2 linked regions of the Coturnix japonica genome follow. The protein of the gene in region 2 purifies or fractionates together with the protein of the main gene of each other region. This does not show direct contact. Links are inferred from orthologs where the notes say so. Each region holds a gene or a part of one and is shown on either strand. Other genes may lie near its edges.

Region 1 (3,651 bases), on a different chromosome or scaffold from region 2:
AGTGTTGCAATGGGGGGCAAAGTGAAACAAGAAATGCAAAGTGATGGCGATGAACCTGGAGCTAAACTACTGCTTTTTCTCCTCCTCCCCCCCCCTCCTTCCTCTCTCTGACCGCGCTGCCACCACCCAAAAATGGCCACCAAAACCCCTTCCATCCATTTCCCAGGAGCTCTCCTCGAGCACGGAAAGCCTTGATAACTCATTCTGTTCCGTAAGTGGTTTTGTTCTGCTCCTGGGCCCTCCGTCCTACAGCAGCATTTCCTCTGCCTCCCCCACCTCCAAACCCCACTGCGGCCGCACAGCACCGACCCCCACGTAACTGCTGACCCCGACATCACACCAAAGGCTTTCTGCCCCATTTGGGGATCAAACAAACCCACAGCTGGGGGTTGGACCTGGCTGCTCATCACCAAACCAAAGTGGGCACGATGGAGGGGGCTTCCCCTCCCACTGAGCTGTGAGTCCTGCCCTGCCACGCGCTGCCCTTTGTGTCACAGTGTTTGCAGACAAAAGAGGAAATGCTGTTTTCCTTGAATTTGTCCTTATTTGAAACAAAAATCCTCTGCTAGCTGGGGTTTCATTTGCTTCTTCCACGGATCATTTCCCCCCCTCCTTGCGTTGCACTTTGGGCTGTCAATCCAACCCAGCACCCCCCAGCAGAGCCTCCTTTTGCTGTGAGCCTTCTTTCAGTTTGGAGCCAATCGCATCTTTCTCATTTGTTCCATCCTCCTCTTCCTCCTCTCCGTGTTCCCTGGTTGGGATTTACAGTGGGATCCCAATATGTAGTCCATGCTCAAACCCATTGCCCTGGGCAGCAGCAAGTGATGCCTCATACATCCACAGCCCTCAGGGTAGGAACTGGAGGGGGAGGATGGGACTGGGGTATCCCCAGCACCTCACATGGGCACCCATCCCCTCCTCATATTCCTCTGGAGCTCAAGAATCCTTTGCTGAGAGCAGGAAACAAACCTGCAGCAGTGCACCCATGGCACAGTGCTGTGCCACCCCCACCAACCCTGCTCAGATGTGGGCTCTCCTCTTTGGGGTTTTGTTTTCAGGTTGGATATTAGGAAGTATTTCTTGGTACATTGGAAGGGGAAGGCGGTGGGGTCACTAATGCAGAATGGCAGAGATGTAGCACTTGGGGACATGGTGAGGGGGGCTGGGGAGATGAGTTGGGATCTGGAATGATCTTTTCCAACTTCAGTGGTGCTGCAATTGGGCAGAGCGGGATGGATGGGGTGGCACTGGGTGATCTCAGAGGTCTTTTCCAACCCTAAAGACTGCGTGGTCCTTTTTAGGGACGTGGATAGTGGGCATGGGGAGGATGGGTTGGGGTTGGATGTGGTGACCTGAGGGATCTTTTCCAACCTCAGTGACCCTATAAGTGGGCACAGTGGTGGGGGTAGGCTGATGGTTGGCCATGATGATCTTAGTGGTCTTTTCCAACCTCAGTGATCCTATGGGATCTCCTCCATCTCGGTGTTTGGAGGCACAGCAGGAGGTGAGGAGTCCACGCTAGAGGCTGGGAGGGAAGTGGGGGGTTGGCTGATGCTGCTGTATCTGCCCTCCCTTTGCTTTTCAGGGCTCAGGATGGTGCCAGCCCTGCAGCCCCAGGCAGCCATAGCCAATAGCAGGAGCACCCTCAGCCAGGAGAGCTTTCCTTCCAGGCTGTGCAAGCCCTGCTCCTTTATCTGAAGCAGAAGTGCAGCCACCTGGGCTCTTTGCAAGCATTTATCCCAAATTTACCAATGGGGAAGGATGGGGGACCCACACCTTGTTGGCTCAAAGGGGGGGTGGGCTCACAGAATACAACATCTCGGGTTGGCACCTGGATTTGGAGGACTGAGGGAAGAACCTCATCTCAATCCCAATAATGCCAAGCAGTGCTGAGCTGGGGGATGTGCTTGGAGCAGATGGGCTGGGGAGGGCTGTCCTTGGCCACGTGTTTGTGGTCAGAGGAGCTGAGAGCTGAATGTTTCCATCCAGAACATGAATGGCAGAGGATGGGTTGAGGAGCAGTGCAGTGCTGCTGGCATCAGGGGAAGGAGCTGTGGGGTCTGGGGGGAGCAGGGCTGAAAGTGATGGGGAAGATGGGCCTCTGCTGGAGCTGCATGGATTGATCCCAGCCTGGACTGGGTTGGACTTTGCACAATGGCAGCTGGGAGTGCTGCCTGGTCCCAAGTAGCCTCCACAGTGACCCACGGGGTGGGCACACATCCAGTCCCACAGCTGTGCAGCCTGGATTGTAGACATTCCATAGCAGAGCGGTGGGAGAGAAAGGGAAGCGGTGCTGGAAGGAGCAGAACATCTCCAGGACATCATTCTGCTCTGGGAAGAAATGGGATCCAACAGAGCAGAATGGCCCCAAAGGCTGCAGAAGTGCCTTGGGCAGCAGTGGGGCTGAGCCCTGGCTGGGGGGGGTTTAGATGAGGACTACACTGCATTCCCATTGCCCCCTCCCAAAGGGAATGAGCAGTGCTGCTCCTCTTCCACCATTTCTTTCCTTTGCTCTTGGCCAGTTTTTGTTTTGCTGCCTTCTCTCATGCACCGCTGCTTGTTGCATGTGCATTTCCTGCATGGTTGTGCAGTGAGCACGTTGTGTGTGAGTTCAGTCCTGCATTTCTCGTGGCGAAAAATCAGCCATTAATCACTCCTTGTGCTGATTGATTGGGAACTTTGTCTTTCGAAGGCTGCCCTTCACCTGCGGGTTATGAGGGCCACAAAGCTGCACTTCGATCTGTGCCTGATGATTGGGATACAGAGGGGGCTCAGAGCTGTGCTGTGTGGGATCCCGGAGCTGTGGGGTGGATGTGGGGATTGATGGGGCTCCAGGAGGGGATCTCTGGGTCTGTGATGGGAGGGAGAGGCGTTGGATCATCCCATATCGGAGCGCAGGGTGGGATGGGGAGAGCAGTGTTCCCTCTGGAGCTAAATGAGCAGCATGCCCAACCCGCAGCCCTCCTCACTCTGTGCCCTCCTTTCCCCTGCAGCCCGTCAGGCTGGCACCCGAGCGGGAGTTCATCAAATCCCTGATGGCCATCGGGAAGCGCCTGGCCACGCTGCCCACCAAAGAGCAGAAAACACAGCGGCTCATCTCGGAGCTGTCGCTGCTCAACCACAAACTGCCTGCGCGCGCATGGCTGCCCACGGCCGGCTTCGACCACCACGTGGTCAGGGTGCCTCACACGCAGGCGGTGGTGCTCAACTCCAAGGACAAGGTGAGCTTTGGGGTGTAGAAGGTTTGGTCCTCTCTGAGCATCCCCCTCTGCTCAGCATTCACCCCATGAGGCCAGAGAGCAGCTCTGCGCTCAAACAGCCCCATAACATCACTTTGCTTCCTCCAGGCTCCCTATTTAATCTACGTGGAAGTGCTTGAATGTGACAATTTCGACACAGCGAATGTCCCAGCGAGGATCCCTGAGAACCGAATCCGGAGCACGCGGTCGGCTGAGAACCTCCCCGAGTGTGGGATCACAGCTGAGCAGAGGACAGGCAGCTTCACCACCGTCCCCAACTACGACAACGACGACGAGGCCTGGTCTGTGGATGACATCGTGGAGCTGCAGGTGGAGGTGAGGCTGTGCTGCCATACAGAGAGACCCCGCAGTGCAGCCAGCAGAACCTTCTGAGGGTCAGCAAAGCCAATGC
Region 2 (4,112 bases):
TCATTTCCAAGTGTTCCTTGCCTTTATTAGTGGGATCGAAGGCCGTGGAAGGGGTGTGATTTCATGTATTCTGATGGATGTAGTATGGATTTGGGCTCTTGCTTTTGGTTTGGGGCTTTCTTTTTCCATCTGCATTTGAACAGGCTGTATTGTTGAGTAACCCGTTCCCAAACTGAGGAATTTCCACAGTATCTGATTGCTTTGGTCCAGAAGCTTAAAGGCATCTTCCTGCTCTGTGCCCATAGAGGTACGTGGGTCTCCAGTCTTTGGATCTCCCTGCTAAAAGAGAAAGTCCTGACAGTTGATTGAGAGCAGCAAGAGGCTGATTGTAAGGTAGAGAGAGCACGAACTTGTTGCTGAGTTTGGATCAGGTTGCCTGCCTTTATTACTTCTGCATTCAGTAACATCTCAGAAATGCTCTGCCAGAGCATGGAGCAGCTGAAGGCACTGAAGGTACCTGGATTACAGGGGGTAATTAGCAAAGTGCAGCAGGACCGCCTGAATTCTCTTCCTGCAGCCAATGGATTAATGACCCAGGGTCTTTTTGCAGAGTTCATGCATGAAACTGGTCATCTTCACAGGCCAGAGGACAGACACGAGTACAACCTGGAGAGGCAGCTGTGCTTTCTCGAGCTGTGTGTTCATTAGGAGGGCAGAGCACTGCGTGGAGCTGGCTCCAGCTGTCCTGGGTGGGGAGAAGCGGGGTGGGAGCTGCCAAAGCTGGAGCCTGAAACAATGGCCTGAGCACAAAATAAAGCAAAGCTGAAATAACAGAGGGACCAGCCCAGTTCGTGGCCATGGGAGAATGCTGGTGAGCTAATTCAGAAAGCGTGCAGGGAGAGGTGTTCTCTAATCTGCTGTGCATGGATCGGGAGGGCCTAGAAATCTCTGAGCACTGATGTTTTCCTGTTAGCATGGCAACACCTTGTGCGGAGGCAGAGTTTCAGTCTTCTACTTCTCATCTAATCCACTGGAACTCGTTCTGTTGGGTGAAGTCCTGCTTTGTTTTCTGGCTTGTTTGTAGTATCAGATGTCTTCCTGTGGGGAGCACGGTGATGGCTGGAATAACTGCAGTAAATCCCACAGAAGGCTGGGCATGCAAGGGGCAGCTCGTCGCCCTTGTTACTGTGGGCCCTGCCTGAAGCAGCGCAGCAGCCAGGCAGCACAGTGCTGCTGTGGGGAGTTCATCTGGTAAATGATGTCCTGTCTTTCAGTGGTGCTGATTGGGGACTCCGGAGTGGGGAAGAGCAACCTGCTGTCCCGCTTCACCCGCAATGAGTTCAACCTGGAGAGCAAGAGCACCATCGGGGTGGAGTTTGCTACCAGGAGCATCCAAGTGGATGGGAAGACGATAAAGGCACAGATCTGGGATACTGCAGGGCAGGAGAGATACCGTGCCATTACTTCAGCGTGAGTACCGTGTCTTTCTTTGGGACTATGGCAGATACATCTCCGGGTAAGGACTGAATGAAATGCATTTGGATGGGACAGAATCCTTGTGGCAGGTCTTGCTGTAGATCCAGGTAATCAGGTAACAATATCATGCTATTTGATTAGTATTTGGAATTTGGAACTCATTTCTGGGGGATGGTTATTACACAAAGCATACAGAACTGCAGTACTTGCATCAGCGCAGCTTTCTGAATGGGTTTGTTGGACCTTTCTAAAGGAATGTGCCTTTGTGTTCTCCCAGGTATTACCGTGGTGCTGTGGGGGCCCTTCTTGTCTATGACATTGCCAAACATCTCACCTATGAGAACGTGGAGCGCTGGCTGAAGGAGCTGAGGGATCACGCAGACAACAACATCGTCATCATGCTGGTGGGCAATAAGAGCGACCTGCGCCACCTGAGGGCTGTGCCCACTGATGAGGCCCGTGCTTTTGCAGGTCGGTATGTGGGGCCTTCAGGTGCTTCTCAAGTTCAGTGTGCTGGTCACTCTACTGTCCAGTATTTAACTTTTGCCTTGTGCTTATTATTATGTGGGAAAAAAAAGGGGAATTGGAGGTTTCGTAGCTGGCTTGTTAAATAGTGGATGGTGTTTTTTCTTGTTGAATCTGTTGGTAGCACATGTTTGTAAAACAGCATCCTTGAGCTGCCCGATACCTGAAGCATAAACAGTTCCTCTGGGAAGGCTGAAAAACAGCAGGAAATGTTCAGAGGAGAAAATACCTCATATAGTGTCAAATATCACAATGCAGAGTGTCTGTCCTTCATTCCTAGAGGCCTGGTTCTATGGAGAGCATAGAGTTCCTAACTGAACCACTTGTTATTTATTACAGAAAAAAATAACCTGTCCTTTATTGAAACTTCTGCTCTGGATTCCACAAATGTAGAAGAAGCCTTCAAGAACATCCTTACAGGTATGGTTTGTTATGGGTTCTGTGGACCTACCACATAGTGAATCTTCTTCATGGGCACAGTTTGCAGTTATTGAGACTGTTTTGGAAATGAGTGTTGGGAATGATTATATGTCTGCAGTCTGCCTCCCCTTACCTCTGTTTTACCCCCACCCCATGCACCTTTTTCCCCACCCACACGCATGGGGAACTTTCTCTTTCCTTGAGAGTGATGTGGGCCCATTACCTGAGTTTTATGGTTCAATAGCTGAATTCTGGGAGGATAAACTATTTCTGTATTCTCACCCTCATGCACTGTTCTGTGGAGCTGTGCCTGATGTACACGTCCCACCACGTCTCCAGAAGGGCATTTCCTGAGCATTTTTTGTTTTTTGGTGACAAGATGCTGATTTAACTTAAATGAGAATGAGCCTTTGTTCTGGTACTGCTCGGTTGTCAGGAAGTGTCTGATGTATGCTGCTTGTTGGACGCTGACCAGAGAACTGGTTATTATTGCTGTGCCTTGATTATATGTGAATGAGAGCCTATTACTGGGGAAATGGCTGAGTTTTGACCTGGTGAATTCTTGAAGGCTCTTTCAGGTTTGTTTTGCAGAGTGTGGAGGTAAACAGGCAGGAGCTGTGGTGTCGGTCTGAGCAGCTCTGTGAGCACAGAGGTGTGTTACAGTTAAAGATGACCAAGAGGAGGTGGGCAGGAGGAAAAAAAAGGGTAGTCAAGCTGCTTCTATGAGTAAAAAAGCCTGATGGATGAAGAGTGGGTTACGTTCTGCTCCCCAGCAAGATTTGGGTTGAGCTGCTGGAGAAGTAACTGGAGAATACTGCTGCTGAGACAGAGCTGTAGAGAAGAGCAGCTGCAGCCTGAGCTCTTGTGCAGGGTGGCCTTGAGAGCAGGTGCTGCTTATCTGTGACACTTGGCTGGATCTGAGGTGACTCGTGTGCTGCTCTGAGATGGTATCGGTGGATTTAGTGCCCTGAGCGTGGCTCAGCCATCACCATCCATCCTGTCTTCCCTCGTTGTGTTGTTCTGAGCCTGACTCTGGGTACAGAAAATGGCCAGAGGTTTTTCTAGGAGAGTTCAGTGCTGCCTGTGTAACAGATGGAGCCAGAACTGGAGCTCCATCAAAACAAAAAAACCAAAGAGCCCAAACCCTACAATTCCCCACCATTTAAAACCCTTGTTAAAGGCTTTGGCTGTTCCTGTCCTGCGGCTGTGACTGCTTGAATGTGACCATAATATTTACTGCAGGCTTCCAGGGAGGTGCTTGCCCTTTTCCTGTCTCACAATGGAGGGAAGTTGGAATGAGGTCCTACAGTCAGCGCAATAGAAATATTTCCACTTATTTCTACTGGCGCTGCAGGTGGAATGGTTTCCTTCTGAAAGCTTCTAACCTGGACGCTGCCTTTAACAGCTGGGGTGAATCTGTGCTTTCAGGCATGAGTTATTTGGAGTCAATGAAATGAATTCTGTCGGGGATGGCATTTGCAGATCAATGTGGGGCTGCGTGGAACCTCATTTTTACTGCCACGGATGGGGAAACTGATTTGTAACGGAGAGGAGCGGGTGGTCCTGTACTTCAGTAGGGACGGCTCACCGGGAGCTGAAGGGTGAAACCTTTAGGTCTTCCAGGCAGAGCTGGAAAGCCACCCAGACGTTACACTGCACAGCTGGTTCCCTTTCACAGCTTGAATCTTCCCTCTCCTGGCAGCTCGCTCCGAGGTGAGCGCGTGCTGTGTTGCAGGGAACACCTTCCTGTG

The links. The genes of interacting proteins can lie anywhere in the genome.
Region 1: the proteins of RAB11B (region 2) and PI4KB purify together in Homo sapiens (co-immunoprecipitation; 3 studies listed by BioGRID and IntAct, with this or other methods). This does not show direct contact. The link is inferred for Coturnix japonica from reciprocal best matches to the Homo sapiens genes RAB11B and PI4KB.

What each region holds. Positions count from the first base shown.
Region 1 is NC_029540.1:2,287,043-2,290,693, reverse strand, and holds part of PI4KB (phosphatidylinositol 4-kinase beta), read left to right. Parts: intron 1-166; coding exon 167-211; intron 212-2,993; coding exon 2,994-3,221; intron 3,222-3,347; coding exon 3,348-3,575; intron 3,576-3,651. UniProt on the Homo sapiens protein: Phosphorylates phosphatidylinositol (PI) in the first committed step in the production of the second messenger inositol-1,4,5,-trisphosphate (PIP). May regulate Golgi disintegration/reorganization during mitosis, possibly via its phosphorylation.
Region 2 is NC_029543.1:321,896-326,007, reverse strand, and holds the start of RAB11B (ras-related protein Rab-11B), read left to right. Parts: upstream 1-1,180; 5' UTR 1,181-1,195; coding exon 1,196-1,410; intron 1,411-1,693; coding exon 1,694-1,887; intron 1,888-2,280; coding exon 2,281-2,361; intron 2,362-4,112. UniProt on the Homo sapiens protein: The small GTPases Rab are key regulators of intracellular membrane trafficking, from the formation of transport vesicles to their fusion with membranes.